Linked DNA regions of Bombyx mori. The protein of the gene in region 1 interacts with the protein of each later gene in a pairwise test. Links are inferred from orthologs where the notes say so. Each region holds a gene or a part of one and is shown in the gene's direction. Other genes may lie near its edges. The genes, in order: MCAK and interferon regulatory factor 2-binding protein-like A.

Region 1 (3,832 bases):
TCACCTGCAGTAGATAAACGTTTGAACCACGCTATTATCGTCATCATTTGCTTTGACTTGACTTTTCACAACACACCTGGTGTGAAGTGGTTACCTGGACATGAATACTGCCATTCGTCTTGAGACTTTAGCTGGAAGTCTTAATTCAACCACTGTCCTACTCTTTGAATTAAAACGAATTCTTGCTTCATTATAGTAAAAGACTGTGATGGAACCTAACTGTATGTGCTATTTGTGTATCCACAATATGAATTTCCAGAAAAAATGCAAATTAATAATAAATTTGCGGTTTTTGTTAATTTCACGATGTTATTCCCGCAGCCGTCTAAGAGAACACGCGGTAATAGAATCATTAGAATTTGTCCTCATTTTTACAAGAATTATCTCCTCCTCCTTGCGTCGATAGTCCTCAATCCTGAGGGTCGTGGCCTCATGAGGCTTTCTTGGAAAAATACACATGGTGGGTTCCCACGTCCTACCACGGCAGTGCTTTTGGAAGTGATTTAGCTCTTCAAGGCCGCTGAAGCCTTATTTGGGTTCGGCTAATTAACCGCCGCCAGACATTCGGCGTTGACGTTTTACGGTGGAAAGGTCGAACTCCAACTCAACCCTCCTCTTTTCCAATCCGGGCTTGGGACCGCCATTGGCAGAGTTCTGGCAAGAATTATCTACAAATAACGAAAAAATACTTCGATTAAAATAACAAAAAAGAAACTATATAAGACCCTGAATTGATTTACTTTCTATCTTTTTGCTATTGTGGCGGCTGCTTATCTATTTGCTATTGTGACGGCTGCTCAAACAAAACTAAAGACGAATGAAGAACAGTGTTCACGGAAGGTCACAGCCGCATATTATTCTCTGTCCACACATTCCGCACGGAAATGCAAGGTCCCGGGGGCCGTTTCACCTTGATGTGCTATACTGTGCATGTTCTTATCAGTAACCCTGATTTATATCTATCTCAATTTACTACAACTAATTATTATCAACCCAATTTGCTCTGCTCGTTATTTTAATACGAAGCTAGTAACGCTGTCTTGTATATTTTAGCTACAAAATAGTCATGCTTTCCTGGTTTAAGTGTGCGATATCTTTTGTCGAAGTGCATAAAGGTGCATTAAATCATTTACTGTCTACTGTGACTTACTCGTCATATATAATGACCAGTTTAAACTGGCTAAAAAGATTATCGGCTTGCATTAGCAAATCTGTATGTGTACGTAATATATTTACAATGTTAATGATAGTAAAATGTAATGTTTCAGGTCGGGTCCATTCTGCGATCGTGGCCTCAGTTAACTTGGAGACGCGCTCAGTTGCTGTGGAATGGTTCGAGCGCGGCGAGACCAAGGGCAAGGAGATCGAGATAGATGCCATCCTAGCGCTGAACCCTGAACTGGCGAGTGGGCCGCGGCACCACACTCCGCACCTGCAGCCGATGCCCAACAAACTAGCCAGGGTCTGTTAGCTTTTCCATTTATGATACCTTGGTACCGATTAGTTAACATTTACAACTAGTGCGATGTAGTAGTAGATTATGTTCAAAGTACAACGATTTAGAGTCGATGGCCGCACGCAATGTGCATTGCTGCTACGTAGGATGCCGATTTATCAATTTAAAAGTCGTTTAGTTTATAAATTATAAGTGAGTCATTTGTCCAGATACATGATTTCATTACGGAGATGCCGACTAAGATAGTGCGTACCTACGCCAATCTTTTGTTCTTGAAAACATTACCTCATTCGTATACGTTTATTATTTATAAAGTAATCAGTTAGCATGTAGGTTATGCATTCATTTTGATTAAAGAACAACCTCGCATTCACTGGATCTCGGTTTGATTGGCGCATCGGAACCTAGCTCAATAAATTCGTCCATCGATAAGGATGACCCTCGGAAAGCTGAAAATGATATAACTGCAGAATCTATGCTCGCTTTCACGATTAATATTAATCGATTTCGAATTTTAGTGAAAAATCGAAAGCCATTATCGATTCGCGAGTGCGAGTCGAACGCGTACCAAGCCGCGATCACTCTCATTGTTTGGGTCGCTAAGAACGTTGCTAATCGACGCCACGCTACAGTTGCACCTCTAGTATCACGTTAGACGAATGTGCGCTTTGTTTGTGGCGCCCCGGTTACCGCTCATCAGCTTTATATTTTTAATCATGACGTCAGCATCGGAGCCGGTCATATAGCGATCAATCGTGCGTGGTGTGGTTAGAAACTCGACACTATCAAGTCTCGGCCACCGCAAAATCATCGGAGAAAATGTAGACATGTTCCCTTACATCATCAGTTGGCAGGTGATCACCTAGAAGCACTGTAGTTAGAGCTTGTTTATTGTTATTAAATAGTTTGGTTACCAAGGCGACGCTGCTGTTTGCTGACGCGCAACGTTAAGCACATGTTGCAGCTAGTTGACAAGACTAATCGATGAGGCCGCCGGGCACGCTCCGAGTCTAGTGCGTGGACAGCAAGTAGTGGACGCCGCTCAATGACAATGACTGATAGATAGTTGTGAACGACCTTCCACCTGTGTGCCCACCTGTGACGCACGCCGGTTATCGATTTTCATAACACCAGCATTTCAGTTTCACTTTCATTACGAACTAGACGGATGGAAATCGACGGAGCGATCAAGTGTCCCGATACAAATTGAGTAAGTGCAGCACAGTAACCATGATGTATGACCGGCACGTGTGTATTTGACGAAGGATCCGTCGGGCTCCTCTTCGGACGACGGCGGGTTCCTGCAGGAGGGCGGCGAGGGCGAGGCGGGAGACTCCGGCCACACGCTGCCCGTGCGCAACTCACGATCGGTACTCACCCTCACGCACGTTCCACGCATACATACGCACGTCGACGCCCCGGAGCGGACCGACATTTTATTTTCTTTCACATTTTTCGGTTGTTTTGCTCCACGATCTATGATTTGCACACGTTCGGCTTGTTATGGTGTTTTTGTGGAACGTGCTTTTGTCACTGATCGACGATGGCGATCGGTTACGGTCGCTCGTCGTGCCCCTGACAAAACCACGGTCCATTTAGTGTTTGTATTGTGCTGTATTACATTTGCAACGCAGTCTATTCGTTTCCGATCGATGCCGCCATCATTCGATCTCCGTTTGTGTTCACCTGTTTACGAATAAAGCTTGATTTGGACATCATCAGTGACATCATGTCCGCGATGAATCACCTTCCCACGACGTCGGGCGACGACGCTTCTTTTAGCCGATATTTTATTTCTCGCCAAAGAAAAACGCAAATGACCCCATTGAGATTGCCTATTTCGGTGTAATTTATTGTATCGATTTTTGGACAAGCTTTTTCTCGGTAAATGCATGTGTTTCGAAATGTCATGTAATTATTGGAAAAGATGTACCACGGGAATGTTTAGTGTTGAGCTTAAATACAAATATGTAATACCATTATGAACCCAGGGAATTACGACACGACCGACAACTACAGATGATATTGGTCTGTCTGACTATTTATCAGAATGTACAGTGTGGTATGGTAATGTGTCTCCGGCCTTCTCATGCGTCCGTAGTAATGACATCATGACAAATGGTGGGTAGGGAGTCCGCCTATCACCGTCCTGGCCGTTTCTGGCACCGACGTCACAGTGCCATGAAGACTTCGATTGTATCTCAATTGGTGGCGACATCCACACTGGTGCTCTTGGGCTCCGGTGACAACATAAGTAGCAGGCCAGTCGTGTGCCGCTCCTACCATCTATGCTTTTAGATTAACGGATAAAGAACAAAATTACGTTCCACATCGGCCCTGAGCTATTGGGTTCCTATGTCACGTACTTGTGTGTGC
Region 2 (4,404 bases), on another chromosome or scaffold:
ACATGATACCTACGCAAATTTTCAAGTTGATCTGACGTTTCGTGGTTGTTGAAAATAACATTAAAAGGTGCGATGACACTATATAGTAATCTTAATGTTTTGGATTGAGGTAGACATAGATAAAACGCACGATTGTTGCTAAGCGATTAACGGAACCTATAAATCATATGATACCTTCGTTGCAGTGCCGAATACGGCCAGCCCGAAACCTAAAGTATATGTATATGATTATAAAGCCCTTAAATAGCATTCCTTCTGAAAAAAAATTAATGTAAAGAAAACAGAACATTAACATATAGACTTTTCTTGATTTAGTGTGTGCAAATTCAGAAATAACACTATATTCATTATAGTGAGGTAATTCAAATTATGTTCCATTGTATTTCTGGACACATTTTTAATTCGTTTTAATGTTGAAATGGAGCTTTGACGCTACAGTTCATCAAACTCCAGTAAATATTTCTACACTTGGATAACACGATTTCAATTAAGTTTTTGTCCGAACTTTATAAAATTGACGTTTTAAACCGTTTCGTTCCAAAGTCTCGTGATTTTACTGTCAATATCAGCTGCCACATCTATGTTCTGTGTTGAATGGTTCAAGACAATGCCCAAGCCTTCTTCCATGTCATCTGGCTAATAATAAATGACGATAATTAAAATTATATGTCACTTTCGGTAAAACTAGCATAACAGGTTAGTAGCAATAGATAGGCTTGACTTTGATTGTCCAAGTATTCCGAATAATATATTGATTACTCGCTTATATGCTTTCAACAGTTTGACCAATGCCGCCAATGTATTACCGTCTATAACAATGAACACTGAAATTTCAAATTGCTATCCGGGTGTTTGATTATCTATCCAGTGAATTAGAAGTGTTGAATCATTCGTACAGTGTATGTTGCCTGCGTTTTCTCATAATCGATTTCCGTTATTCCTCAGAGTCAATCAAGGCTTTGTCTTTTGTTTCTATATGCGCAAATGTGGATCGCACTGCTTGTATGAAGCATTTAATGATTTTGTACAGTGGACGTACTGTAATAAGCTTGTTTTCTACTACAAATACAGCAATACTATTAACGTAATGTCCGTTTTTGGATACTACAGGCCTTCGGGGTTCGGAACCCAAAGCATTTTCTGCTTTGAGTTACATGCTTAATGAAGTGTAACGCTGCGAATTGCAGCGGCCCATCTTTTAAACCGAATCGTATAATTGTCTCACGGCAAAAATAGACAGGACGATAGTACCAATCCGAATAGGCTGACAAGATGACCTTACCACCAGCAACCGTCACATTTCACGGAGGATGCCATATTATAAATAAGTCACTAAACAAAGTTTTCTTATAAATACGTACTACGTAGGTATCACGGGAATATTATCAAAAATGGAGAATTGTATCCATGTAAAAATATAGATAGAAATAGGAGTGCAGAAAGACAAATGAATGGTGGATGAATTAAACGAGTAATTGCAAATAATAACGATGAGTATAAAATGTATAGTAGACACTGATATAATCGCTGATAGAAGATAGTGGATACAGAATACGTTGACTTAATTTTGCAATCCGTCTGTGGAATAAATATGTTAAATTAATGATTTTTTTAGTGATGGCTGAAATCAAACTGCAGTTCACATTACTGAACGATATATATTCGGTCACTAAAAGTACACAAAGTATGACCATATTCAGGTATTGTGTTACAAAATGACGTATTTAGAACAACGTTAAAACTCAAAAACGTGTTAATTTATTATAAGCGATATAATCGTTCTTGTCGACCGTTCACGTTTACCTGGCCGTATAACTGTTTTTTCTCCGATCCTCGGCTGCATACAAAAAGTGATGAGAGCTGTTTCCATTATTATTAAGCACAACAAAAATGAGCGGCAACAAGGCAAAGTGAACGGTGCGACGTTGCCGATCTGCACGCTCGGCTGACTCGTCACGTGACGTCACGTCTCAAGATGGCCGACACACCGGTCGCGTCCCCCCGCTTCCACGCCAACCGGATCCTATCCAGTCGCTTGGTAGTAGTAATAATAATAATTTAGAATGCAGCCGTCAGAAAGGAAACCGACCGAGAATAGATGGGAGAGAATATACTGAAATTTAATGTATCGGACGTGTCTACGTTATATTTTAACGCTAATTGTTATTCTACAACACGCTGTTTACTTTCGTTGAATAACACGGACTATGAATAAAGGGTCGTGGCCGTGTCAGTATGTATGGCGACTGTGTGATTCATTTATAGGTGGTTCTAATTAAACTGACGTAAACAGCGGTTGCGTTATATAGTTCATTTAAAGAACTTGATAATAATACCTTGATTACCATATTAAGATATGGCTACGTGAATACGCTTTTGTAAATAAGCAGTTGCGTTAAATATTTAATTTAAAGAATTTAATACCTATTAATAGCTTGATTACTTTAATTTATGGCTACGTGAATACGCTTTTGTATATTTCCTATTAAGTAGGTACCTAAGACTGGCTAGAAATCTTAATCTATGCCAATAATAAGTAGGTACTTTAATATAGAGTAGGGCACCTACCTACCTTTACTACACCATTGAACTCTCGAAAAATTGAGTAGGTAACCTCATTGCTTTTTTCAATGCGTATTTAGACGGGTTCGTCGTTATCGTGCGATAAGCGCGTCGTCGGGGTCGGGACGAGTGGCGCATCCGCGTCGCGGCTAACGGCTCGTCCTCGTCGCGGTGGCGTGGCGGTGCTGCGCGCGCTGACGTCACCGCTCGATAATGGCTGCCGCGCCCGGCCCCCCCGCCACACACACGCCGCCGAAGCTCAGTCTTTCCTCGACCTCTTAAAGAAGCTAGTGTCTTTTATGTAGTGGCAACAAACAACTGTCGTCCGCGAAGTCGAATGTGAAGTTTTGTGTTTTTATTTGTGACTACCATGGTGACAGTGTTTTTTCCCGAAGGCATAATAAATCAGTGACAATTTTCAAGAGAAACGAAGAAAACCGATCTCTCGCACTCCGCACTACACCCGGCGGCGAGATGTCGGTGATGCAGAAACGGCAACACTGCTACCTCTGCGACTTGCCCCGCATGCCGTGGGCAATGTTGCATGAGTTTTCAGAAGCAGTGTGTCGAGGGTGTGTAAATTACGAGGGCGCCGATCGAATCGAAGTAGTTCTAGAAACAGCTAGACAACTAAAACGCGCTCATGGTTTCCAAGAAGGTCGTGGTCCGTCGCATGCAAAAGGAGCACATCGTACGCCCTTAGAAGCCCATCAAAATGGAGCAGAAACAACAAGAGGACAACCTGCACCTCCAGCTCACCATACACCGACGGTTGGTTTTACGTTACACCATCCACGACCTACGGCTAGTGCAGGCCTTCTGGCTGAATATGGAAGCCGAAGAGACGAACATGAGGGTAGACGACTAGCCCATTTACCTACACATCATCTTCCGGCACATGCAGGGGCACGTCTTGCTCCTGGTCTCACTTTAAAACGACCAATGGATGATGATGACCATCAGTCGCATCACGAACCAGCTAAAAGACTTCTAGAAGAACACTCTCGGCCGCCTCTAACCCGTGGTGATTCACTGCCAGCAGTATCACTAGCTGCTCCTTTCGCGCCAGATCGCGTTTTCAAACAAGAGAAACATCCTCTCCGTACTCCTTCTTTTGATGGAACTACGTTTAAAACGAATGGTGAGTTTTTTTTTTTTTTTCATAGGAAACCCGGTCCTAATTCGCGATTTTTTAAATGCATTAAAAACAATTAGCAACCGATTTCATTATACAAAAATAAATTAAAAAAACATTTTGTGTGTAGAATAATTGCAAAATGTATGTATTTTGATTAACAAATTATTATTATTAATTTTCATAGCATGCATGCTCCTCTATATTTGAAATTTTATCCATGCCAAAAAACTGTTGGAAAATGCACAGACATTACAATTTAGAATAGAACATTTACTATTTACTGCCTATTCTTTTTATGTTTGGATTGTTATCAATGTACAATTCAATATTTACATGATTGTTTAAACACTATGATTATGAAAATGTAATAATGTAAAAGAATTACCAACGTTAAATTTAAAGGAATAACCGATTTAAACTAACGACTAAAAATATTTGTAGATTCTGAAATACCTACTAACTAACTTCAGTACGAAAATTACAATTCAGCATAATAATTACAAAACAGAATTAAACTATTGTTTACAAATAACACGCAACCAGTATTTATGAAACGGTTGCTTATTTCAAATGTTACAAATATACGAGCTGTATGATGATAACATTAATGATTGTAGCGGACGCGAACGTGCTCCCATAATGACTGTAGATGTTTTGCGCAAGCGTCCGCCTCGGGAATGATATCTAGGTAGGTGCATTAACAC

Evidence for each region.
Region 2: the proteins of MCAK (region 1) and interferon regulatory factor 2-binding protein-like A interact in a two-hybrid assay, tested with the Caenorhabditis elegans proteins (2 studies listed by BioGRID). The link is inferred for Bombyx mori from reciprocal best matches to the Caenorhabditis elegans genes klp-7 and ifbp-1.

What each region holds. Positions count from the first base shown.
Region 1 is NC_085111.1:18,675,970-18,679,801, forward strand, and holds part of MCAK (kinesin-like protein a), read left to right. Parts: intron 1-1,268; coding exon 1,269-1,462; intron 1,463-2,721; coding exon 2,722-2,826; intron 2,827-3,832.
Region 2 is NC_085124.1:13,141,671-13,146,074, reverse strand, and holds the start of interferon regulatory factor 2-binding protein-like A, read left to right. Parts: upstream 1-1,510; 5' UTR 1,511-3,036; coding exon 3,037-3,703; intron 3,704-4,404.